6 linked regions of the Canis lupus familiaris genome follow. The protein of the gene in region 1 interacts with the protein of each later gene in a pairwise test. Links are inferred from orthologs where the notes say so. Each region holds a gene or a part of one and is shown on either strand. Other genes may lie near its edges.

Region 1 (3,500 bases):
AGGGGAGGTAGAGAGGAGACTCAGGGAGGCTGGGGAGGAGGCTATTCTAGTGGCTCCCTGGGGTTTTACTGCGACTCATTAGGGGAAGCCTGTATGAGAAGAAAACAGAAGAAAAGGGAGGAATACGGAAGGAAATGTCACAGAGCATGGGGTGGGTGGGGAGGCTGTCAGTAGCAGCAAAGGAAGTCAAAGAATGTAGGACTCTGTGGCCAGGCCACTGAGATTTGATGCTGCTACCAAAATAGGGAGGGGGTGAGGCTATGGGGAGAGAATGTGAATAAAATCTCAGAAAATCTCATGGGGACCCTCCCTATCCCCAGGGCTGCAGGGCCCTACATCATCTCTGCCACCAGGAATACCCAGCTCTGGGCCTGGTGAGCATCTGGCCTTCAATCAACATATGCCGAATGGATGGATGACCAGTGGAATGTTTGGGAGGAATGCTCTGTTCCCTCCCACACCCACCACCGCAGCCCCTTGGCCAAGCCAGCCTATCCGACACTCCTCCCTTCCGGACCAGGAGAGTACAAGGGCCTGCCCAGAGGACGGATCAGTGCTGGGGGAGAGAAGGGATAAAAGGTGCTGAAGTCGGGGTGAGGGAGAAGCTGGGGGCCCTGGAGGAGACCCAGCCTGGCCTCCTGCTCTGTCGCCTGCCCGGAGCCATGGGGGGGGGGGGGCACGTACGTCATCCTCAGTGGCTGCCTGTGGCAGCATCCTCAGCATGACGATGTTACTGGCCTTCTCCTCCTCCTCCTCCTCCTCATCCTCCTCCTCCTCCTCCCCTTGCTCGGTCCGATAGTCCTGGTCCCGATAGTCGCCGTCTCGGGGGAAGCCTGGCGGGCCAGTGGGGCTGTGCCTGTGCCGCCGCCGCCGCCTACGCTGAGTCTCGGAGCCCGGGGAGGCCTCGTAGGAATCCTGGCCAACAGAATGAGACGAGAGACACCAGACGGGCAGTCAGTCTGGGGTGGGCCTAGGGGCTGGCCGCTGGCTCTCTGAGGCAGGCGGGCTCTGAAAGCCAGGGGTGGGCGGGCTCCGGCTAAAGACTCAGGGCAGGCAAAATGGGTCAGCCCTGGACTGCAACCCTTCTGGGGTGGGAAACTGTCCCCGGATGCCTTTTGGGGGCTGCCTTGGTGGGGAGTGGGGAGAGGCTGGTGGCAGTAGTATTACTGTAGGGGAGAAACTCCCACAGACAGGTGACCAGACTGCTTAAACTTCCTTGGGTCTGGGGTCAGCACCCTAAATCCTGCCCCCTGTTTCTCCCTCGTCCTCCCTTGCCAGCTCGGCTAGAATGTGCACGACTGTTCTTTATGCCTTATGATTTCTGGCATGGGCCAGGGTTCTAGGAGCCAGTCAGCAGGGACTAGCAAAGATGTGAGGGCCACAGCACTGCCCCCAGCCCCTGATCCTCCTCTGCCTGGCCGGTGCTCTATCATCACTAGGCTCCCTCCTAACAGGGTGTGGTCACGGAGTTCTTGGATGTTGCCCAAGCCATCCTGCCAGGACTAAGCAGGCCAGGCCAGGGTCCACACCCCTTCTGCCCTCAGGGGGACGAGATAACTCAGGTCTCCACTCCCACTCTTCCCAGTGGGTCCACCCAGGGCCTCCTGGTGCCCTGGAGACATCCAGGCACAGATCACAGCTGCCACTGTGAAGCTTGGCTGCCCACTCTATACCCCGGGGCTGGGTTGCAAAAGTACCCTTCCCACCCTGCTGGATAGGAGAGCTGCTTGCTTGCTTGGACCCAGGGTCCTCTCAAACTGGGGTTCCCTTAAGGCAAGTCTGCTGCTTCTCCTCAGATGGTGAACGCCTCCCCTCCTCAGGCTAAGGCTAACTACCCAACGTGGAACTGGCTACCCTCTGAGCTCAAAGGGAGAGGCCCTAGAGGGTCTTTCCCTTTTGTATAGGGGCTCTGTTGCCCCTGTAAACGCCCATGGTTGGCCTCCCAGAGCTACTCTGCTTGGTGATATCCAGTGTCCCCACTGCCCTCCCAAGCCCCACATGCTGGGTCTCATGCAAAAGGCTCTTCAAGGACCCCAAACTGGCTGGGAGCAGGCAGTAAAATAAAGGGCTTGCAGTGAACCATGAGCCCAAATTAAAAAACAAGGAAGAAGGGAAAGAGGTGATGGCCAAGGGCCCTCAGAAGTACAGAGCCAAGCAGGTGGAAGTCAGGGAGACCCAGTTTGGGAGAGGAGCCCTCAGAGAGGAGCAGGGACAGACCCTCCAGGTGAGGCAAAGCCACTGAGCACAGTCTGAAGGCATGGGAACTGAGAGCTACCTGCACATGGTGCTACAACCAGAGGCCCTGCAGGAATTCTGTCCTCCTCGGCCCTCACCTCTGCACTCTGCTCCTCAGATGAGTCGTCGTAGTCATGCTTGCCCTCCTGGCTACCATACTCTCGGGGATATGAGCGGTAGTCCATGTCCCGGTAGTCGTGGTCTCTGCTGCGATTCTCCCCACCATCATCCTGCGAACGGTCAGTGGCCCCATAGCGGCCAGTCCTGTCCCCACGACCACCTCTGACGGAAGAAGAATGGGGAGGGATTAGAGGGCAGTCCTTTCTGAAAGGTGTAAGAGGTGGGGGGCTCCCACTCATTCCCTCTAGACCCTAGATCCCACTCCTGACAGGGGTCCCAAGATCCTGACTCCATGAGGCGAGCTGGTCCTTACCTCTCAAATCCAATCCATTTCTCTTTCCCCCTGCCACCTCTCTAGTCCATGTCTGTCTTCCTTCACAGGGCCATCGGGTGTGGCATCAGGGCCTGGCTCACCTCCACCAGGCCTCTCCTAGATCATTCTTTATGCCCCAAATGTGAGCCAGTGTTCGATCAGGCAAAGCCAATCAAGCCCAATCACTGCACTCTCTTCAACGGCTCCCTCTCATTCTCAAGATAAAATACCAAAATGCTCACCAAGGTCCTGCAATGTCTGCAGGGTATGTGTGGTGATGTCCAACCGACCTCTCCCTCTGCCTCACTGTGTGCTATGCTACCCTGCCCCTCTGTTTCACAGTTGCCCTGCTAAGCACTGGTAGTGTTTTGTTAAAATTTTTCCTATTGTGATTACTGTAAGATAATTATCTCTAACTTGACTTCATGGGCATTTCTTTTTTTTTTTAATTTTTTTTTATTATTTATTTTTATGATAGGCACACAGTGAGAGAGAGAGGCAGAGACACAGGCAGAGGGAGAAGCAGGCTCCATGCACCGGGAGCCCGACGTGGGATTCGATCCTGGGTCTCCAGGATCGCGCCCTGGGCCAAAGGCAGGCGCTAAACCGCTGCGCCACCCAGGGATCCCGCATTTCTTTTTTAAAAAAAAGATTTTATTTTTAAGTAATCTCTACACACAACATGGGGCTTGAAATTACAACCCTAATATCAAGAGTGGTGTGCTCTACTGAGCCACTAAGGCACCCCTCACTTAGATTTCTTTGATGATTTAAAAAAAGTACTTGACTGTGAGTTCTGGGAAAGAGGGGACCACACCCAGAGGGTCCATTG
Region 2 (3,500 bases), on another chromosome or scaffold:
AAATCGGTTTTTGAATTCAAAGCGTTAGTGTCTTTTTTGTTGTATCATTTTGAATGGTTGCCTTATTAGTTTGATTTGGCCTTATGTTTTAAAAGGGTGGAAAATTGCAAGAGAGTTGGACTTAATGAGCTAAGTGTTTGGCCTTTTCACAAGTGGAAGTGATAGAAGGCTTTTGGGAATTTTTGGTGTTTCTAAGTTGTCATTTTACTTGTAGAACAGTGCAAGTGCATGTAAAATTTATATACAGTGAAATGCACAAAACTTAAGGATAGTATTCATTTAATCTTGATAAGTTTATACACCCATGTAACCAACACTAATAAAAATGTATAACCTTTATACACCTTTTTCCTCGTGCCACTTCCAATCAAGGAGCCATTCAATTTCCAGAAGTTTTTTTGTTTTTAAATAATTTGCAGATGCCTACTTGGAATTTGAACTTCATTTTTGCTGAAGGATGATTAATTTCCCTTGAAACAAAGAAGACCATTTTGTAATCCCCATAGTTGTGGTTCCTTATATTGCTTCTTAGTAGGTAATTCTGAAGGGAATATCCTAATCTGGTGTCGTTTAAGATCAATTACAGGGTCCAAGGATTAATTATATTTCATTTTCTTTCCACAGTTAAGTTGCTTTTACAGAATTAACAGGTCTCCAAGAAATTATAAAAAGGTAAGATATCCAGAGCTTAAGGCTTTTCACAGAAGCTTGACAAAAGAAATGTAAAGTAGAATAGGACATGTAGGTACACATGGCTTCTGTACTTTATGTGTGGCCAGTGATGTATACTAATGGTAGACAGTTTATTATCATAAGCAAAAATTATGTACTGACCATAGATGGCTTTTTGAATATGTAAAACTCATCGTTGGTTAGTAAAATTCTTTAACCCACAAAGCTCTCTCTCATGTTTTAGGAGAAGGTAGGTTTCTAAGTGAGTCTGAAAATAGTTTGGTCTTGTTGTGAAGCAGTGCTTGGCAGACTTACAAAGATTATTTGATATTTTTGATGCTTATATTGTATAGGATAGGTGATATGAAATATTTCTTTGAAACAGTTGGTTTATTTGTATGTTTAGATGGGAGGTTTATTCTTTAAGAGATTAGATACTGTATTTTTACATATACATAATTTTACATATTTTTTTGTATTTATAATACAAAAAATTTTACATATTTTTACATAATAAGGTATTATGTATCATACCTTATTTTCATTTATAAATGCTGAAGAAGGTAGGAACCAAGTAATTATTAAGTTTAGTTGGGGATAAGGTACTTCAAAAATAAGACTTGCTATTATGTGTACCTTTTTGTCTGCAGGTCATTATTGCTGTGGTTTGAGCTCAGCATGGCTGTAGTCATCCGTTTACTGGGGCTTCCTTTTATTGCGGGGCCTGTGGATATTCGTCACTTCTTCACGGGATTGACTATTCCTGATGGAGGAGTGCATATAATTGGAGGGGAAATTGGGGAGGCTTTTATTATTTTTGCAACAGATGAAGATGCAAGACGTGCCATAAGTCGTTCAGGAGGGTTTATCAAGGATTCATCTGTAGAGCTCTTTCTTAGTAGTAAGGCAGAAATGCAGAAGACTATAGAAATGAGAAGAACCGATCGCATAGGAAGAGAGCGACCGGGATCCGGGGCGTCAGGGGCTGGCAGCTTATCTAACTTTGTCGAGGCTATTAAAGAAGAAGCAAGTAATTCTGGATATGGCTCTCCAATTAATCAAGATGCTGGGTTTCATACTAACGGTACAGGACATGGTGATTTAAGGCCAAGAAAGACACGGCCATTGAAGGCAGAGAATCCTTACCTGTTTCTGCGAGGTTTGCCTTACTTAGTAAATGAAGATGATGTACGTGTCTTTTTCTCTGGTTTGTGTGTGGATGGCGTAATTTTCTTAAAACATCATGATGGCCGAAATAATGGTGATGCCATAGTAAAATTTGCTTCATGTATTGATGCTTCAGGTGGTCTTAAATGTCATAGAAGTTTTATGGGTTCAAGATTCATAGAAGTAATGCAAGGCTCAGAACAACAGTGGATTGAGTTTGGTGGTAATGCAGTTAAGGAGGTTGACATTCCTATGAGAACTGAAGAACATTCTCCGCCAAGAGGAATTAATGATCGGCATTTTCGAAAACGATCTCATTCAAAATCTCCCAGAAGAACACGTTCTCGTTCTCCTCTTGGATTTTATGTTCACTTAAAAAATCTGTCCCTAAGTATTAACAAGAGAGATTTAAGAAATTTCTTTAGAGATACTGATCTGACTAATGAACAGATTAGGTTTTTATATAAGGATGAGAGAAGAACGAGATACGCCTTTGTGATGTTCAAAACTCTGAAAGATTATAACAGCGCTTTGGGTTTACATAAGACTGTTTTACAATATCGTCCAGTTCATATTGATCCTGTTTCTAGAAAACAGATGCTGAAGTTCATTGAATGTTACGAAAAGAAAAGACCAGTGTCTGTAGAGAAAGAGAGGCTTGGACATGTTTCACAGAAATACTCTCAAGAAGGCTATCCCGGCCAGAAACTGTGTATATACATAAGAAATTTTCCTTTTGATGTTACAAAAGTTGAAGTGCAAAAGTTCTTTGCAGACTTTTCTCTTGGAGAGGATGATATTTACTTACTTTATGATGACAAAGGAGTCGGTCTGGGAGAAGCATTGGTGAAATTCAAAACCGAAGAACAGGCCGTGAAAGCTGAGCGTTTAAACCGGCGGAGATTCTTGGGGACAGAGGTATTGTTAAGACTGATATCTGAGGCACAGATGCAGGAGTTTGGCGTAAGCTTTTCCTTGATGTCCACGGAGAGAATGCAAGGCCATTCGCAGTCCTGTGACAGAGACGACCATGCCCATTCATTTGACTCCAGTGACCCGCCTCTATACTCCGCCGGCCCCTCCGAGAACTTCAGGCACCAGCAAGAGGACTTGAGGCAGCTGGACAGTTTCAAGCAAACCCAGGCGGACTTCCGGCAGCTTGACCGGAGCCTTCCGGAAGACTTCAGGCATTCCCCAGAGGACTTCAGGCGCTCTCCCGAAGACTTCAGGCGCCCTCGGGAGGAGCACTTCCGGCGGCCGCTCGAGGAGGATTTCAGGCGCCCTTGGGAGGAGGGCTTCCGGTACCCTAGAGAGGAGGACTTCCGGTACCCTAGAGAGGAGGACTGGAGGCGGCCCCCCGAGGAGGATTTCAGACGGCCTCCCAAGGACGACTTCAGGCGACCCCCCGAGGAGGACTGGAGGCGGCTCCCCGAGGGAGACTTTAGGCGGCCACCTGAGGAGGACTGGAGGCGGCCTCCTGAGGACGACTTCAGGCGGCTTCCCCAGGGGGAATGGAGACGACCACCCGAGGAGGACTTCCGGCGGCCTCCCGAGGAGGACTTCCGGCGACTCCCCGAGGAGGACTTCCGGCGACTCCCCGAGGAGGACTTCCGGCGACCTCCCGAGGAGGACTTCCGGCGTTCTCCCGAGGAGGATTTCCG
Region 3 (4,256 bases), on another chromosome or scaffold:
GTTATAATAATAATAAAAAAGATGCCAGAAGTAGTGGACACATCTCAGAAATAGGGAGCTAGAGCTATAATAATATTCCTCTCTGCCTCTCTTCACCCCCTTCTCAGAAAGGCCTCTCAGCTCCCACAATCTCTGGCCTCCAGGATGAGCTATCCCATCTTCAGGAGCTTTTAAGGAAATGGACACCAAGAGTATCTCCTGAGGATCACTCCAAGAAAAGAGATCCAAATACCATTCTTTCCCAGTCCCGTTGAAATTGTTGTCTTTTTTATGGGCATGGCAGAGGGGGTCCGGGGTGAGGGAAGGTTCTGTCTAATCCTCCAATTTTTCTTATCTTGGTCTTGCTGTCTCAGCTTTTGACACTCCAGCCCTCAACAAGCTCACTGACCTTTCTGTTGCAGATGGGTGGTGCTAACCTTCTCCAACTCTTGCCCTGTCCTGTTTCATTCTCGAGATATGTTTCTCATGATTTGAGGAATTAAGAAACAAAAGCAATCCAGAATACGATTACCTTTGTTCTTTTCAGGGCAATTCCATCCCTCTGGATACCCAGCCGATAAGCTGTGAGATGAGAGATGCTGTTCATCAGTTCAAAGGAGATGGCCTACAGAACTCATTCTCACCTCCTCTTGCTGCTTAATTCCAATTTCTGTTTCTTCCCTCTGGTTTTCTATGGGTATGCTAGTGGGTATGGGACACATCCTGTCTCTCCCAATTGTATATTTTGTAGTGACATTTCTATTTAACGAGTTCATTAAAGTACAGTTGCTGGCATTATCTCTGGTGTCTGAATAAAAGATCCTAAGTAAAAAAGCGATGATAAACCGGGAGAAGAAGGGACCCACCATATTATTGTTCAGGAAATATGGAGATAGGTCAGGCTGTCCACACTAATCGTTTCGTAAGATGGGGCAAAGAGCATGCAAAGACATGGTTGGTGGGCCCGGGGTATTCTGGCGGTTGAAACTGAGGCCCCTGGGCTGCAATGTCAGGTACCCTCAGCTCTGGGCACACATCATCTCTGAGCCTCAGGTTTCCATCTCCCCCATGCAACAGGATCATGTGAGCTCCGACGCCACTCCAGCTCAGACACTCCGCAATCCTCTCCCCAGAAGCCGCGGGCCACGGTGGAGGGCTGCCTCCGCACCCTAAGGCAGCCGAATCCTTGGGTTGGAGGGTTTCCTCAGCACACCCTTCTCCGGGGAACAAAAGGATAGTTTGCCAACAAAATATTTCTAAATAAAGTTTTGTTCTTTTAGCTTTTGAGTTTACATTTTTAGGAGTACTGTGATCCTTTAACGTCCAGCACTGCCTTAAGAGGGTCTGGGCATTTCCGTTCGGCCCTCATCGCTTTGACCGCTAGCAGCGGCAAATCCGCGCAGAACCACGGACCGGAGAACGCGGCCCCACAAGCCGCATCAAGTCTCCGCAACTCCTAAGATGGCCGGGGCCTCTTCCGGCTCCTCCCCCATCAGGCCCCGCCCACCGCCCTCGTGACTACCTTCGCCCCGGAAGTGGAAGTACTGACTGAGGTCAGAGGGCGGGATCGCTGCCTGGAGACGGCGGGAGCTCTTTCGCCATGGCGGCCGGCCCGATCTCCGAGCGGAACCAGGGTAGTTGGAGGGGATGAGGCCAGGGAGGCTGGGAGGCCTCGAGGAAGGCCAGCCGTGTTTTCGCCGGGGCAGGAGATCGGATCCCCCCGGAGGGCGCGAACCCGGCCCCCGTGCCGGCTGGGGGTGGGGTGGCCGGGTGCAGGCTGAGGCCTGTGGTTGTGATGCTCTGTCCAATCTCCTGCGCCTTCCCATTCAAAAAAACAAAACAAAACAAAAACCCAAACGAAAACCAAAAACAAAGCAATTCACAGAGAATTTGCAGCAGAACCTTCAGTTAGACTTAAGAAGGTTCTTTAGTTCTGGAATGAGAGAGATGTAAGGGCTTACTCTCACGTCTTTTTCCTTTTTTGTTCCTATATCCCATCTCCACTCCCAGTTCCCCCGCCTGTCACTTCCTTCTTTCCCGTCGTTGTCTCATCCCTGCCATAATCTGCTCATTTCTCTTAGATGCCACTGTCTACGTCGGGGGACTGGATGAGAAGGTTAGCGAACCCCTGCTGTGGGAGCTTTTTCTCCAGGCAGGGCCAGTAGTCAACACCCACATGCCAAAGGATAGAGTCACAGGTCAGCACCAAGGTGAGTACATCACAAGAGGCGTGTTTATGCATTGAGGGGACAAGCTGCTCCTGGAGGGTTCCGGCAGTATTCATAGGCAGTATTCATAGCCGTTTTGGAATCACCTGTAGATTCTTCCTTTTAAGTGTCATTCAATGTTTGCTTCTGGAACCATTCCCAGTTGAAGTGAGGTGGTTATTTCATGTTCTTTGTGCTTTGGAAGGTGCATGAGTTACACACGAAATTGAATCACTTCACTTAAGTTAATCTCTGCTTTTCTACTTCCCAGGCTATGGCTTTGTGGAATTCCTGAGTGAGGAAGATGCTGACTATGCCATTAAGATCATGAACATGATCAAACTATATGGGAAGCCAATACGAGTGAACAAGGCATCGGCTCACAACAAGAACCTGGACGTGGGGGCCAACATTTTCATTGGCAATCTGGACCCAGAAATTGATGAGAAGCTGCTTTATGATACTTTCAGCGCCTTCGGGGTCATCTTACAAACCCCTAAGATTATGCGGGACCCTGATACAGGCAACTCCAAAGGTTATGCCTTTATTAATTTTGCTTCATTTGACGCTTCGGATGCAGCTATTGAGGCCATGAATGGGCAGTATCTCTGTAATCGCCCCATTACTGTGTCCTATGCCTTCAAGAAGGACTCGAAAGGGGAGCGCCACGGCTCAGCAGCTGAACGACTTCTAGCAGCCCAGAACCCACTCTCCCAGGCTGACCGCCCTCATCAGCTGTTTGCAGATGCACCCCCTCCGCCTTCAGCCCCCAATCCTGTCGTATCATCATTGGGGTCTGGGCTCCCGCCACCAGGTAAAGCTTTTATTCAAAGTATTTTTGTCTTGGGCTTGGGGTGTGGTGGTGAGCGGGGGCAAGGGGAGGAGAAAAGAACTTGATAAAGGGGGACATGGAGTCAGTAGGTGATGAGAAAGAGAGTGAGGGGTGACAGTTGTGGGGAGAAAGTTGTTGAGTTGAAGAGGCTGAAGTTGTTCCTAGTTATCTAGTATTGCTTCTGATTTTAGAGAGCTGGGAGGAAGGGAAGAGAACTTATCCTGCCTGAGGAGGCCAGATTGAACGGGCTTTCTAAAGACATTCTCTCCTTACTATCGTTAACTTGTCTTTCATTTCCTCTATAGGCATGCCTCCTCCTGGGTCCTTCCCACCCCCGGTGCCGCCTCCTGGAGCCCTTCCACCCGGGATACCCCCAGCCATGCCCCCGCCACCTATGCCTCCCGGTGCTGGAGGACACGGTCCACCATCAGCAGGAACCCCAGGGGCTGGACATCCTGGACATGGACACTCGCATCCTCACCCATTCCCACCAAGTGGGATGCCCCATCCAGGTGAGTGTTCTTTGCTGGGGAAAAGGATAGATAAGCTTGTTGGAGGAGCTCCACTGCCACATGCAGTGCTGCCCTCATCCCTCAGCAGTAATAGTAGATAGTCCCGGAGCTCTGCTTTTTTTTCAGACATTCTTTTATAAAAACAAACACGAGACACTGTTCTCTGTTTACTTTAACAGCTACCACCCTGTCTCCATTTATTATACAAGTTTTTCCAAAGAGTGTAACTGTACTCGTTTGCTTTTTCCTTTAACTTTTACTTCATTTTTCTCCTCCGACTTCTACCCCAAAGCAGTGACCTAATTGCCAAATAGAGGGGGCACTTCCATTCTTTACCTGGTTTGCCATTTGGTGTACTTGAAACTGGGTGTGTTGTCCTTTTTGAAAAGCTTGCCTCTTGGTGTTTCTGGATTTTTCATCTGTCTCAGACTCCTTAAAGTTAGCCACATTAGGGATCCCTGGGTGGCGCAGCGGTTTGGCGCCTGTCTTTGGCCCAGGGCGCGATCCTGGAGACCCGGGATCGAATCCCACATCGGGCTCCCGGTGCATGGAGCCTGCTTCTCCCTCTGCCTGTGTCTCTGCCTCTCTCTCTCTGTGTGACTATCGTAAATTAAAAAAAAAAAAAAAAAAAAAGTTAGCCACATTAGTAGGCTTTTCTCCCTCTCCATGTAGCTGGGTTTTTGTATCTGGTTCTCTTTTCTTTTTTTTTTTTTAATTTTTATTTAT
Region 4 (4,062 bases), on another chromosome or scaffold:
GCCCGGGGCGCGATCCTGGAGACCCGGGATCGAATCCCACGTCGGGCTCCCTGCATGGAGCCTGCTTCTCCCTCTGCCTGTGTCTCTGCCTCTCTCTCTCTCTGTGACTATCATAAATAAATAAAAATTTAAAAAAAAAAACCGTCACGAAATAAGAGACATTTATTATATAATGGTAACGGGGTCAACGTGCCAGGAATATTTAACAGTCATATGTTTCCAATCAACATGAGAGCACTCAAACATATGAAGCAAACACTGGCAGAACTGAAGCGAGAAATCAACAGCAACCCAATAAAAACAGATTTCAATATTCCACATTCAGTAACGGATAGAACTCCTGGACAGAAAAAAAAAAAAAAAAAGGTCAATATAGTCAACCGAAGCCCTGAACGACAGCTCCAGACCAAATGGACCAAGATGGGGATGGACACATACAGAACATCCCAACCAGCAGCAGAATACACTATTTTCAGGCACACTTGGATAGGAACATTCTCCAAGATAGATCGCGTTGGGATGCAAACTAGGCCTTACCGAATTAAAAAAAAATTAAAAAAAGATCAAAAGGCCACAAAGGACCGCAATGAGATGAAACTAGAGACCGACATCAGAAGGAGAACTGGAAAATCTACGAATATGTGAAAGTCACCGACACTCTGGCTCACGAATGACCAATGGTTCAAATGGGTCAAAGATCACAAGGGGAATTCGGAAAGATCTTGAGACGAGCGACAACGCGGCCTACAAATACATCATGAGAAGCAGCAAAAAAGCAGCACTGAGAGCAGTTCAGTGTCCACGAGGAGCCCTAAGACAACAACGCATGACCTCGAGTTGCACAATCGTTAACAGGTATTAGACCACACAACAGACTTCAGATCTGGCGCAGAGGCGGTGCAGCCAGCTCCACCGGGGAAACAGGTGACATCTGCACCGCGTCTCGCACACGGGACGGGCACGGCGGGCTCAGCAAGGAGTGAACGTGACCTGAATCTCCTACGTTGCAAGGCGCATCCCTCCTTGGCTCCGCCCTTGCCCTGGGATACCAGGCAGCTGCACGCTCCTCGCAGTCCCCACGACTGCGTTGTAAGCCGGGACTCAGCCCCCACTACGGCCTGCCCAGGGCCCTGAGACCTCCACTCGCCTCACCCGTGCCAGACCCGGGAACGTGGCGGCCTCCGCCATCCTTCCCGACCCGCACCGGAAACCTACAGCTCGGCCACTTCCGGGAACTTCCGAACGCCTGAACCGCGCACCTCGGCGCCGAGCGCCTGAGCCGGAAGATGCGTCCCTGCGTGTGGCGGAAGTGGCTGTGCGCGTGACGCCAGAGGCGGAGGGGGCGGGGCCTGGGGCCGAGAGCGGTTCGCGCGCTTCGGGCCTAGTCCGGACTCGCCGCCGCCGCCGCCATATTCCCGGTAACGGGGGCGCGCGGCCGGGGGCCGGCTGAGCCGGAAGAGGGCGCGGGGCCAGCGCTGAGACTGGGAGGGGGTCGGTTGAGTTTGGGGCAGTCGGAGGCGACGGGCGGTGGGAGGTGCGGGCTTTGAAGGAGGAGGCCGAGCGCGCCGGGCTGGATCTGTGGGGAGGGAGCGGGGCGGGCCTAGCTGGGGGCGAGGACTGGGCCCGGGTGGGGAGTGGAAGCGGCCGGAAACCAGACCCGCGGGGACTCGAGCCCGGGACGCCGTGGGGCCTCGGCAGGTGCGGCGGGCTGGGGCGCGGGCTTCCCCGCGGGCGTGCTTGGCAGCGCCGTCCCGGGGCCCCTCGCAGCGGAGGCCTGGGCTTCGCCGTCGCGCCCGGGCAGCTGCGGCGCACTCGGGTCAGGCCCGAGGGTGATGGGCAGCGAGCCCCGCGAGCCGCGGCGGCCTGGGAGTCCGAGGGGCGGCGCGAGGCCGGGGGCGGGGCGGGCGGGTGGGACCGAGCTTGGGCTGCCGGGATGCTGCGTCTCTGGAGACCGGAGGTTGGCAACCATCGCTCCCCTCCCCGCCCGGGACCCTCACGCCTCTAACTTGCCTCTTCCAGGGTACCGCAGTGGCATCTTCCTTGCCTTGTCCGTTCTCCGGGCTCGCGATCGTCCTTCCGGAGCCATGTCCGAAGGAGTGGACTTGATTGATATATATGCTGACGAGGAGTTCAATCAGGTGAGGGGGCGTTAGCATCGGGGCTTTCTGGGCTCCGCTGAATCACTTTGACCAAACTTGCAGGGGTTTCAAGCACTGACAGTCTTTGCTAGGCCTGAACATCCTCCTGTCGGGTCTAGATTTTTTACTCCACCACAGACTTTAAAGACGGCCGACCATTGCGTGTTATGCTGATTTTTAGCTGCCAAGGCTTAATTTTACAAGCTTTAAGAGCACATAAAAATTAGATATAATAGAATGGTGAATCAACCTGTGGAACTTGCTCCCCCAGGAGGCCGAACTTGGCTGTCAGTCTCCTCAAAGACTAGCCACACTTAAGAAAATCGCACTTAGGTTTGCTTAGGTTAGTATTCATGAGGACAGTGTTCATACCTTTTTCCTTTGCGGTTATTCTCCCACCCCCCCCCCCGCCCCCTTTTAGAGAGGGAGAAGGAGGTGGAAGGGGAGAGGGAGAGAGAATCTTTTTTTTTTTTTTTTTTTTTATTTATTTATGATAGTCACAGAGAGAGAGAGAGAGAGAGAGAGGCAGACACACAGGCAGAGGGAGAAGCAGGCTCCATGCACCGGGAGCCCGACGTGGGATTCGTTCCCGGGTCTCCAGGATCGCGCCCTGGGCCAAAGGCAGGCGCTAAACCGCTGCGCCACCCAGGGATCCCCTGAATTTGGCTTTTTTTTTAAAAAATATTTTATTTATTTATTCATGAGAGAACAGAGAAAGAGAGAGAGAGAGAGAGGCAGAGACACAGGCAGAGGGAGAAGCAGGCTCCATGCACCGGGAGCCCGACGTGGGATTCGATCCCGGGTCTCCAGGATCGCGCCCTGGGCCAAAGGCAGGCGCTAAACCGCTGCGCCACCCAGGGATCCCCTGAATTTGGCTTTTTTTTAAAAAAATATTTTATTTATTTATTCATGAGAGAACAGAGAGAGAGAGAGAGAGAGAGAGAGAGAGGCAGAGACACAGGCAGAGGGAGAAGCAGGCTCCATGCACCGGGAGCCCGACGTGGGATTCGATCCCGGGTCTCCAGGATCGCGCCCTGGGCCAAAGGCAGGCGCCAAACCGCGGCGCCACCCAGGGATCCCCGGGAGAGAGAATCTTAAGCGCTCCATGCCCGGTGCAGAGCTGATGTAGGGCTTGGTCTCACATACCTGAGATGATGATCTGTGCTGAAATCAAGAGTCAGAGACTTAATGGACTGAACCACGCAGGCGCCCTCCCCCCTTGCAGTTCTTTGAAAGGGCAGCTGGGGAAATGTAGTCCCCTCCTCCATAAGGCAGTACAAAAATACAGTGTAAAAGATACTTTAACATTGAACTGCAGCTCCATTCTGCCTGTTTGGGGTCTTCCTTCTGTAAGTAGTTTGCCTCTAGTCTTGAGAGGTGCATAGGCATTTTGGTGTAATAAATTTTATTTTATTGATGAATGTAACTGTTTAGAGGGTAGAGGTAAGGGTGTTGGACAAACCAGTTAAAAAGCATATGTAGACCCCTTGGTATACCCTGGATTTGTCGGTCGGTTTATATTACCTCAAGGAACATTATGCAGTGATATTCCTCAAAATGATAATCTAACATTGAAGTCAATCTCAAGAATGTTCCATACTCTGTATTTAAAAGTTAGTGATATCTTGCGGGAATTGTTTTCAGCACTATTTTACATGAGTAAACTGGTTCTTCCCATTAGCACCTTTCATTAGCATCTTACGTGGGTACACATAAGGACCTGGAAAAAGGATAAAAAGGACAGATTAAAGAAGGTGCCCTGGTTGGACCCTGACTTTTATACAAGGCAACAAAGGTTTTATACATGTCATTTTTTTTTCACTTGGCACAAGTTATATTAATATTTTTAACATATTATGCCGTTTTCTAACATGGAGATTTTAGAACACCTAAGTAGAATAGTATAGTGACCTTCTACCCATTA
Region 5 (4,300 bases), on another chromosome or scaffold:
CATAGCAAATGCTGAGTAAATATCTGCTGAATCAGCTGATGAGTCAATTTCAGTGAACTCTTAGTTAAAATATACTTTTCAGTTCACAAGCAGCTATCACACTTTTTTTTAAAGATTTTATTTTATTTGTTCATTAGAGGCAGAGAGAGAGAGAGGCAGAGACATAGGCAGAGAGAGATGCAGGCTCCCCTCAGGAAGCTTGATGGATCTCTGAACTCCAGGATCATGCCCTGAGACAAAAGCAGAGCTTAACTGCTGAGCCATCCAGGCATCCCTATCACATTCTCATCCTTATTGCATGCACAGTAAACCACAGAAGAAATTTCTGTCTATCCCTGGAAATGCTAATAAACTATTATTTTAGTATTTGGTGAAAGGATATGGCTCTGAAATTCCTCAAGTTTTCTGGGCCCAGTTGATTTAACAAACATTTTCTAGATACTTAATGCCAGACACTGCAAGCTGCTGGGGTTACAAGGCTAAGACAAAGTCCTCCTCAACAGGGCCTCAGTCCATGAAGTGGGACAACCATACAGTAACGTATGGTTCATATACAGAGAGGTTAAACGCAAAGTTTTCGTTGGAACAAGAGAGGTGCCTAAGTTGAGAGGCTTAAGAAAAAGAGGATAGAGAAAGCATGTTAGAAAACATAACACCTGAGCCACATCTTGAAGGTGGACAGGTCAGTGAGAGGCATTTCAGCCTAAGGGCAAACAGGCTATTTATGGAAGCCAGGAGAATGCCTGCCCTGTGTGAAACATGATGGTAGGAAAGAGTTAAAGACAAGTGGATGGAGAATACAGTGAAAAGGTAGAAGTAGCCGGTCCTCAAGGGCTTTATGACACTATCGAGTAGAGGCAGCTTTTGAAGATGTGAACAGGTGTATGACAATTACCTTCTGTGGAGGATAGACTGGAGAGGCAAAACGAGACCTCGGACAGTCAGAGGCTGTTGCATGGTTAAGAGAACGCGAGAGGGCCTGATCAAGAACAACGAGGAGAGGAGGGATGGATTTAACAAGTATTTACTTACTTTATAAACTTATCCTGGTCATCAAACAGATGTAGAGAGTGGGAAAGAAATCTAAGGTTTCCGGTTTAAGCAACTGAACACATAATTCACAGAGGATAATCGAAGGCAGAAAAATTTACATAAGAAATAGAAGACCATTAGGAAATCAGAGCGTTTTATTGAACTCAAGCAGCAGGGTGTTAAGGAGGAGGAGGGCGGAGGATGGAACCCTGGGGAACCACGAGGACTGAGGCGGGGGTAGGCAGAAAGAGTACAATAGAGCCGTGGAATTCGTCACCAGCCTGCGCTGCAGACTCGCAGGCCCCGACCTGCAGACGGGAGGGCACGCCGCCGGAGGCAAGCGGACGGACCCACCCGCGCAGCTCGCGATCCCACCCGGCACCTGCGGGGCACTACCGCTACGCCCTCCGGCGGGAGCGAGTGTCCGCTCGCACTGCCACAGTTCAGGCGCCTGCGCCCTCAGAGCCTTGTGACACCTGCAGGGCAGGTAATGAATGGGATGAAGCCTGGCGATGTGGGCAAGGGTCCACAGAGTTTCACAGATCATATTCCATCTGTGGCTGCCCTTTGAGAGAAACGGGAAGAGCTACCCAAAGGCCTCACCCTCATACCTGCCCTCCTCTACGCCACCACACCCAAAGACCCCGCTGCTCTCCACCCCGCATCGTCCCAGATAAACTAACACACGGGGCCAAGCAGGTGGCGGAGTCTAGCCCCGCGCTCACGGTTCCGTCCCCTCCCCTCGCCTCTCCGCTACTCCCAAAACACTTCCTCTCCCTCTTCCGGAAGCTCGGAGGCCCCACCCACTACCGCAACGCCTGGCCTTAGCCAATGGCCTGCTTCCCAAGGAACGTTACCTCTGACCTCGGGGCTCATCAGACAGTGGGACAAACTCCTCGCGAGAGGTGAGGTTGAAGCTGCCTCCGCCATCTTGGAGATGGGAGACGGGCGATGGCTGTGGTCCTTCTGCTAATGCAAACAACAAAACGGGCACAGTAGTCAATGCGGGGGAGCTTATCATCACAGAAACTGTTGACCAAAGCTACAGAAGGAGTGAGGGTGTCAAAGCGCAGCGCAGCGGCATCGATAGCCGCTTCTCCTGCTTGCGGGAGCGGCAGAAGTGAAGTGAGTGGAGGCCGGAAGGATGGTGCAGTCCTGTTCCGCCTACGGCTGCAAGAACCGGTACGATAAGGATAAGCCCGTTTCTTTCCACAAGTAAGTACCCCGCGCGTCTCGCGGGGCTGGCCCAGCTCGGGCTGGGGGCGAGCGGCCGGTTAGGCTCGGGGGCGGGGCCAGCTTGCGTGCGCGCGAGCCCGGATGAGGGGCGGGGTGGGGCAGGGGCGGGGCCAGCGCGTGTGCGCGCGAGCCCTGATAAGTGGGGCGGGGCGGGGCGGGGCGGGGCGGGGCGGGGCGGGGCCAGCGGGTGTGCGCGCGAGCCTCGACGAGGGGCCGGGGCAGGCCGGTCCTCCTCGCGGTCCCTAGTCCCCCGTCCCCCGTCCCCCGTCCGCCGGGCGGCGGGTGTACCCGCCTGGGTCGGAGCTCTCGTGCTGCCGCCTCCGGCTGCGCGTGGCTGCCATGGCCGTTTCTTGCGCTCGAGAGTCGGAATCCACGCTCGGGGTTCGTCCGCCGCCTGCCGTGGACGTGTCGGCGCCCCAGGAGCGGCGTCCGTGGGCGCCGCGCGAGCCTCTGCTCGGGGTAAGAGGGCAGCGAGGGCGTAGTAGCGCCTCCTGAGTCAGTACGGAGCCGAGACAGAGGCTGTGAACGTGACGGAGCCGCTCTTTTCCCAGCCTTGGCGTGCCTGGGAGGCCAGCTTCACAGCAGCTCAGGCTTTCGGGGAGGACGTGTGCACTCAGTGCCTAGGGGCCCACCTCGGGGCACCTCTGGCTGTTGGAGGGAGCCTCTGGGACGGCCAGGACCTCAGTTGGCGCGCAGCGATGGGGTCCCAGGTCCGCACAGCTGGCTCGCCCCCGAGGAAGCCCACAGGTCCCGGGGCCGTGATGGCTTTGGCGGCTAGAGAGGCCTGTGGGAGAAACGACCTCGTGATCATCGGATGTCTGCAAAGTGGGACTCGATGGCATTTTCATTCCGCCAAATAAAGTGTTTACAGACTTTACGTTATTATAAATATGATTATTTACATTATTATTACCAAACCGATGGCAAATTATAGCAATTATACGTAAGTAAATCATTACAAAAGCAAAATTTAAGTATTCCGTCAGTTTTTTTGGTGGGGTCGTGTGTAACAGGGGATGTGGGTGCATTTTATGCTTAGTAGAAGAGGGACCCAGGGAAATGAGTGCCTTACCACGCAGATCTGAGTGTTGATTGATGGACCACCACCACCATCCCCATCCTGCCCTCCACCTGCAGGACGACTGAGAGCACCTAACACTCCAGGATCTACTTCAGTATATCCTGAGATCACTTCTTTATTTGTTGGAATTTCTGAAAGCTGATGAATTGACTTCCAGTTCTTTGAAAGTGTAGGAATAGATCAGAAGACGGTGACACTGTTATGTTACAGCCAGCTCTGCACAACCCCGTTTCTAATCAAAGAATCTAAAAATGTGGAAAACCCTTCATTGGTACTAGAAACTAAGGATGGCGTTCACACATCAGAAATAGTTTCTGCTGGCTGTCAAATGATTGGGTCAAAGGAGGAGCTGATCTGCCTCTCCTTCTTACCTATAAAGAACAATTTTTTGGAAATAGATGGGAATTATTCTCACAGAACTCCATCATGAACAGCCTGATCATTGTAGTGTGTAAGACAGGAGGCCCAAGGGGCTGAATTTTACTGGTGATGGCTACCATCTGTTGTATTTCTGGAGGCCATTTCCAGCAGAGATCTTCTACCACTTTCTACATGGTGGCCCAGTGGCAGCAGCTGTTCTGGGCAAAGAAAAGAACTGTCCCAAAGATTGGTTAGTTCTTCATGATAGCAGAGTCCAGCTCTGGCATACCTTATGTAGAAGAGAAGCTAGAACATGGAGTTGAAGCATCCTTTGGCTTTCCAGTTTCCCCATTTCACTAGATACTTGACTTGGAAAAGTAAAATCACAGTAAATATAAACCCTTTCTAAGCCCACTTTTCTGGGCCAGATGGACATATTCCAGTTGATTTCGAGGTAAAATAAGATCAATAATATTCTTATGCTGGAATTAAAAACAAATCAGAAGACTAAAATAAATTAAAACTTTTATTTTTTTAAATTAAAAAAATTGGGCAGCCCCGGTGGCTCAGTGGTTTAGTGCCGCCTTCAGT
Region 6 (4,167 bases), on another chromosome or scaffold:
TCTGTCAATAAGATAAAGACCACTGAATTAAGTGACATAGAAGTCACCTGTGACCTTAATGAGCTGTTTTACTACTATCATATAAGAAAACACATAATACCTGTAAAGCTTTATATTCCTTTTGAAGATCTTTTATTTTATTCTGTTGCTGGCAAACCCTATTTAGGGATTCATCCTCCAATTCACCAATTTTGGATTTCACACTCTCCATAATATGTTCCAAGTCATTAGCTCGTTGTTCCTGATCGGCTGCTCGGCTTTGTTCTAGCTGAAGTTCATTTCTAAAAACAGACACATGATTTCTTCCCTTAGTATAGAAGGAAATCACATTAACAAACATACTCATCTAACAACATAACGAATTTCTAAAATTTCATTGCATTGTTAAAATTTCTGTCATATAACACAAACCAATGGAAGAAATACAAGGCACCCTTACATATCTAAGCTAAGCTATTACTGAAAGATTTACCTACTAAAAATATTTTTTAAACTTAATATTTAGTCAAAATAGAAAATTAAAGTTCAAGATTCAAGGCATTATTTTTAGAATGCATACCACTGGTATACAAACAATTCAAAAGAGAATTCTGTTTTCTTACTTAAGCTGCTGATTAGTTTCTATGAGCTCCTGGATCATGTTCTGTTGACGTGTTGTTTCCTCCACCAATGTTTTCAAATTCTGCCTCATCCTTTGTGATGACTGTTTATCAAAAACGATGAGATCTACATTTTTTAATATAATACAGATAGTAAAAAAGGCAAAAAAATTTAAGATAAAAATTAGTTTTAAAAGGAAAAAAAATAATAATAAAAAAATAAAAGGAAAAACAATTTTTTTACCATAATGAGAAAGGATAGGATCTAGCAAGAATAGGATTTGATTACCTTTAAGATCAGTTCTTTCGACTAGAGATAAAGGCTTTAAGCCATGCATCATCAACAGCACATTTATGCTTTCCCATTCTGCTTCTTCTCGCTGTAATTACAAGGAGTGAGAGAACGATCAACTTCAATATATAAAGTGAAGAAACACCCTCTCAAATATAATTTCCTTGTTTACAAAATAATGGAACTTTTTCTCCAAAGTTTCTTAATATGAATTTTTTATGCACACATGATGATTAAAATTAAAACAAATGTCTAAAAAATTAGCAGATCAAAAAGAATGCAAATAAGCACAAATAATAAAGCACATTATATAATTCCATACTCATACATATAGGCTGTAATGGATAAATTGAAACAAAAATACCAACCAAAAAACACCTTGTAATTTCAATGAACCAAACAAACCTTAGGGTTTTTTTGCTTAACCAAATCACACCAGGCCCTACTCAAAAGAAACAGCTGCAAGGTGCCTGGGTGGCTCAGCTGGTTAAGCATCTGATTCTAGCTCAGGTCATGATCTCAGGATCATGGGATCAAACCCATGTCAGGCTCTGTGCTCAGTGTGGAGTCTGCTTCTCCCTCTCCTTCTGACCCTACTACCCCTGCTTGTGTGCAGGCTCTTGCTCTTTCTCAAATAAATAAAATCTTAAAAAAAAAAAAAAAAAAGGTTTGACCAAAGTTTAAAGAAAGATAAGAAACAGCTGCCAATTAGGTCATATTTACTGAACAGTAAATTAAATGCAAGTCACACAGAAACAAGTACCACTTAATGAATAAGGTCACCAAAAAAAATCAAAATGCCTGAATAGTCAAAGCCAATGATGTAGATAGTCCCTTGTATAGTGGACAAGGTCTAACTATAAAAAGGAGTCTGTCCATCTAAGTAACTGATTCTAGTAGCGTCACTCTGAAAGATATTCTCAAGTTTTGTATCCCTGATTCTAAATACCTATTCGTACCATAAACCTGAGAGGGGGACCCTAACTCTCTAAATTTTTTTTTCCCTAACTCTCTAAATTAAGTAAATAAAAACAATAATGGGAAGAAAAGGTAGTAAGAATATACAATACAGATAAGAATAAAAATAGAGATGATTTTTTGGATATTTAAACCCATGATATTAATAGTCTTTTAATGTAAATACAATGATCAATTTGAAATCACTGTGTGAAGTTAATTTACTTGCTTTTTAAGTTATGTGAGTATATTTGAAAAGGTAATCTGAGTGAATTTACAATCAATGTTTAAGTGCTTGAAAAATATAATTTATAAAATAGTTTTTTTACTAGTGATATAGTATTAAATATTGTAATAGCTTAAAGATTAATATAGACAAAGTACATATAAAAATACTACTCTCCACATTCAAATGCCCCCAAACATTAAGCTCTCTACTGGTATGACTACAATAGCACTATTACTAACAGCACCAAATCTTTCCTTTTGACTGCTGACTTTCTTCACCTTCTTTATCCCTTCCACACTTCTCCTCCTACAATCTTTTCCCTTATTTATGTTGTTGGTCACAAAGATTCATGATCCAGAATTAAAATTACTGAAGCTATCTGCTTTAGGAACCAAAAGCTATGTGGGCATCTCAGTGGCTATCTACTATGACTCATAAAAACCAAATACTCTGTAAATAATGCCACACATTTTGAATGATCAAATTATATATATATAATTATATAGTTATTATATATAATTATATATATTATTTATAATATATATATAATATTTCAAGTTTACCTGTTTTTCAGTCATGAGTCTGTTTAATGATTTACTGGACTCCTAGGCTTTAGGGGCTGCTGGAGATATAGTATCTTTTGTTAAATCAGAAGAAGTAGATTGGCAATAAAAAATATTCACGTTGCCTAAATGAAAAAAGAAAAAGTTCAATAGGTGTTAAAGAAAATTATATTTAAAAGAATGGATAACCCTTAGGCAATTTGAGCATTCCTGTGTCAAAACTTGTATGACTTCCTAGAAAGCTGATTTTAAGAATCATTAGAATAAATCCTATCTTATAATGTTCTCCTCTAGAAATAAAACATTATGAGTTTTACACATACACACAGAACTATTTGTTTTAATTAGATATGTACAAAGCACGTGCTACTAATAAATAAACTGCTATCTTGTGGAAGCTGCTTCTTGAAGCCAAAAGAACTATACCTGACCCAAAGTTATAGGCCAGTCTAACAATTCACTGGACTAAACACCAAGGGTAAATGCAGTGCCACTTGCTTAGGTAGTCTGTATTTCTAAGTAGATCAGAGGCTAGCAACAAAGAATTCTGTGTGACTGGCAGACACAAAAGTTTATATTCAGTCTACCCTACCATTACTTCTTCTTATCATCTAAGACTTTATCATCCTATAGGGAAATTTGGATTCTTTGGTATGTAGATATAATTCCTCCTTTCAAGAAGCACAATCATACACATTCATTAGCATCAGGAACTTTTAGATCTTGAGAGGACCTTGTATAGTGTTTAATCCAAAATCTCTAGCTGTTCATAGCTGGCAGAGCAGCATATGAGAGAGTTGTACCAAGACATCAGGTACTATAACCATCTGAATCCCAGAAAAGTGAAATGATCTTCTCAGAATTACTAAGGAAAAAGGTAGGCCTCTTCACTGCCAGGTAGTATTTCTTCCAAAGCACCCTTCTACTCTTTTATGTCTGTTTCAGATAGTGAAATCCAACCAAACAATTTACCAGTCACCCTTAAGTCTGGTCTACAGGGTACAGTCTTTCTACCTTATTTTCAGATAAACCCAATAACATGTTACAAATTCCCAAATTCTGCCACTTTTGTGCTTAATGTCATACTATCTCCCCTGTAAGCTTTGGTCTCTTTAACAACTCAACCACCCTTACTTTGGTAACCCATCCTGCTTTTACAAACCGTTCACCTAGTTATAATTTCTCCTAGGCTTTAGGGGCTGCTGGAGATATAGTATCTTTTGTTAAATCAGAAGAAGTAGATTGGCAATAAAAAATATTCACGTTGCCTAACTGTATTAGAGAAATTTTTAGAAATATACAAAAATAAATAAATAAATGTAAATTTAGAGAAATTTTTAGAAATATACAAAAATAGAGAAAGTATAATAAATCCACGAATACAGCTTCAATGAAAGCCAACATTCTTGCATTCTTATTTCATTTCTTCAATGTTTAGATTTCAGTATACATCTTTAACAAATACAAACTTATTTTATTTTATTTTTTTTAATTTTTATTTATTTATGATAGTCACAGAAAGAGAAA

The links.
Region 2: the proteins of RBM10 (region 1) and RBM12B interact in a two-hybrid assay, tested with the Homo sapiens proteins (3 studies listed by BioGRID). The link is inferred for Canis lupus familiaris from reciprocal best matches to the Homo sapiens genes RBM10 and RBM12B.
Region 3: the proteins of RBM10 (region 1) and SF3B4 interact in binary tests that used the Homo sapiens proteins (3 or more experiments, as listed by UniProt). The link is inferred for Canis lupus familiaris from reciprocal best matches to the Homo sapiens genes RBM10 and SF3B4.
Region 4: the proteins of RBM10 (region 1) and CPSF7 interact in binary tests that used the Homo sapiens proteins (3 or more experiments, as listed by UniProt). The two-hybrid records come from large-scale screens. The link is inferred for Canis lupus familiaris from reciprocal best matches to the Homo sapiens genes RBM10 and CPSF7.
Region 5: the proteins of RBM10 (region 1) and THAP1 interact in binary tests that used the Homo sapiens proteins (3 or more experiments, as listed by UniProt). The two-hybrid records come from large-scale screens. The link is inferred for Canis lupus familiaris from reciprocal best matches to the Homo sapiens genes RBM10 and THAP1.
Region 6: the proteins of RBM10 (region 1) and CEP70 interact in binary tests that used the Homo sapiens proteins (3 or more experiments, as listed by UniProt). The two-hybrid records come from large-scale screens. The link is inferred for Canis lupus familiaris from reciprocal best matches to the Homo sapiens genes RBM10 and CEP70.

The regions. Positions count from the first base shown.
Region 1 is NC_049260.1:40,963,372-40,966,871, reverse strand, and holds part of RBM10 (RNA-binding protein 10), read right to left. Parts: intron 2,518-3,500; coding exon 2,334-2,517; intron 916-2,333; coding exon 685-915; intron 1-684. UniProt on the Homo sapiens protein: Binds to ssRNA containing the consensus sequence 5'-AGGUAA-3'. May be involved in post-transcriptional processing, most probably in mRNA splicing. Binds to RNA homopolymers, with a preference for poly(G) and poly(U) and little for poly(A).
Region 2 is NC_049250.1:39,289,783-39,293,282, reverse strand, and holds part of RBM12B (RNA-binding protein 12B), read left to right. Parts: intron 1-624; 5' UTR 625-672; intron 673-1,322; 5' UTR 1,323-1,350; coding exon 1,351-3,500.
Region 3 is NC_049238.1:59,867,874-59,872,129, reverse strand, and holds the start of SF3B4 (splicing factor 3B subunit 4), read left to right. Parts: upstream 1-1,456; 5' UTR 1,457-1,579; coding exon 1,580-1,613; intron 1,614-2,060; coding exon 2,061-2,189; intron 2,190-2,457; coding exon 2,458-3,000; intron 3,001-3,323; coding exon 3,324-3,530; intron 3,531-4,256. Other genes in the region: MTMR11 (myotubularin-related protein 11), read left to right, coding at 108-254. UniProt on the Homo sapiens protein: Component of the 17S U2 SnRNP complex of the spliceosome, a large ribonucleoprotein complex that removes introns from transcribed pre-mRNAs.
Region 4 is NC_049239.1:55,593,396-55,597,457, forward strand, and holds the start of CPSF7 (cleavage and polyadenylation specificity factor subunit 7), read left to right. Parts: upstream 1-1,262; 5' UTR 1,263-1,418; exon of another isoform or gene 1,419-1,491; intron 1,492-1,584; exon of another isoform or gene 1,585-1,698; intron 1,699-2,019; 5' UTR 2,020-2,084; coding exon 2,085-2,138; intron 2,139-3,726; exon of another isoform or gene 3,727-3,858; intron 3,859-4,062. Other genes in the region: SDHAF2 (succinate dehydrogenase assembly factor 2, mitochondrial), read right to left, coding at 1,153-1,188.
Region 5 is NC_049237.1:23,673,943-23,678,242, forward strand, and holds the start of THAP1 (THAP domain-containing protein 1), read left to right. Parts: upstream 1-1,500; 5' UTR 1,501-2,176; coding exon 2,177-2,247; exon of another isoform or gene 2,248-2,332; intron 2,333-2,471; exon of another isoform or gene 2,472-2,727; intron 2,728-2,733; exon of another isoform or gene 2,734-3,158; coding exon of another isoform or gene 3,159-3,211; intron 3,212-4,300. UniProt on the Homo sapiens protein: DNA-binding transcription regulator that regulates endothelial cell proliferation and G1/S cell-cycle progression.
Region 6 is NC_049244.1:35,301,043-35,305,209, forward strand, and holds the start of CEP70 (centrosomal protein of 70 kDa), read right to left. Parts: upstream 2,801-4,167; 5' UTR 2,656-2,800; coding exon 2,641-2,655; intron 980-2,640; coding exon 889-979; intron 727-888; coding exon 603-726; intron 282-602; coding exon 101-281; intron 1-100.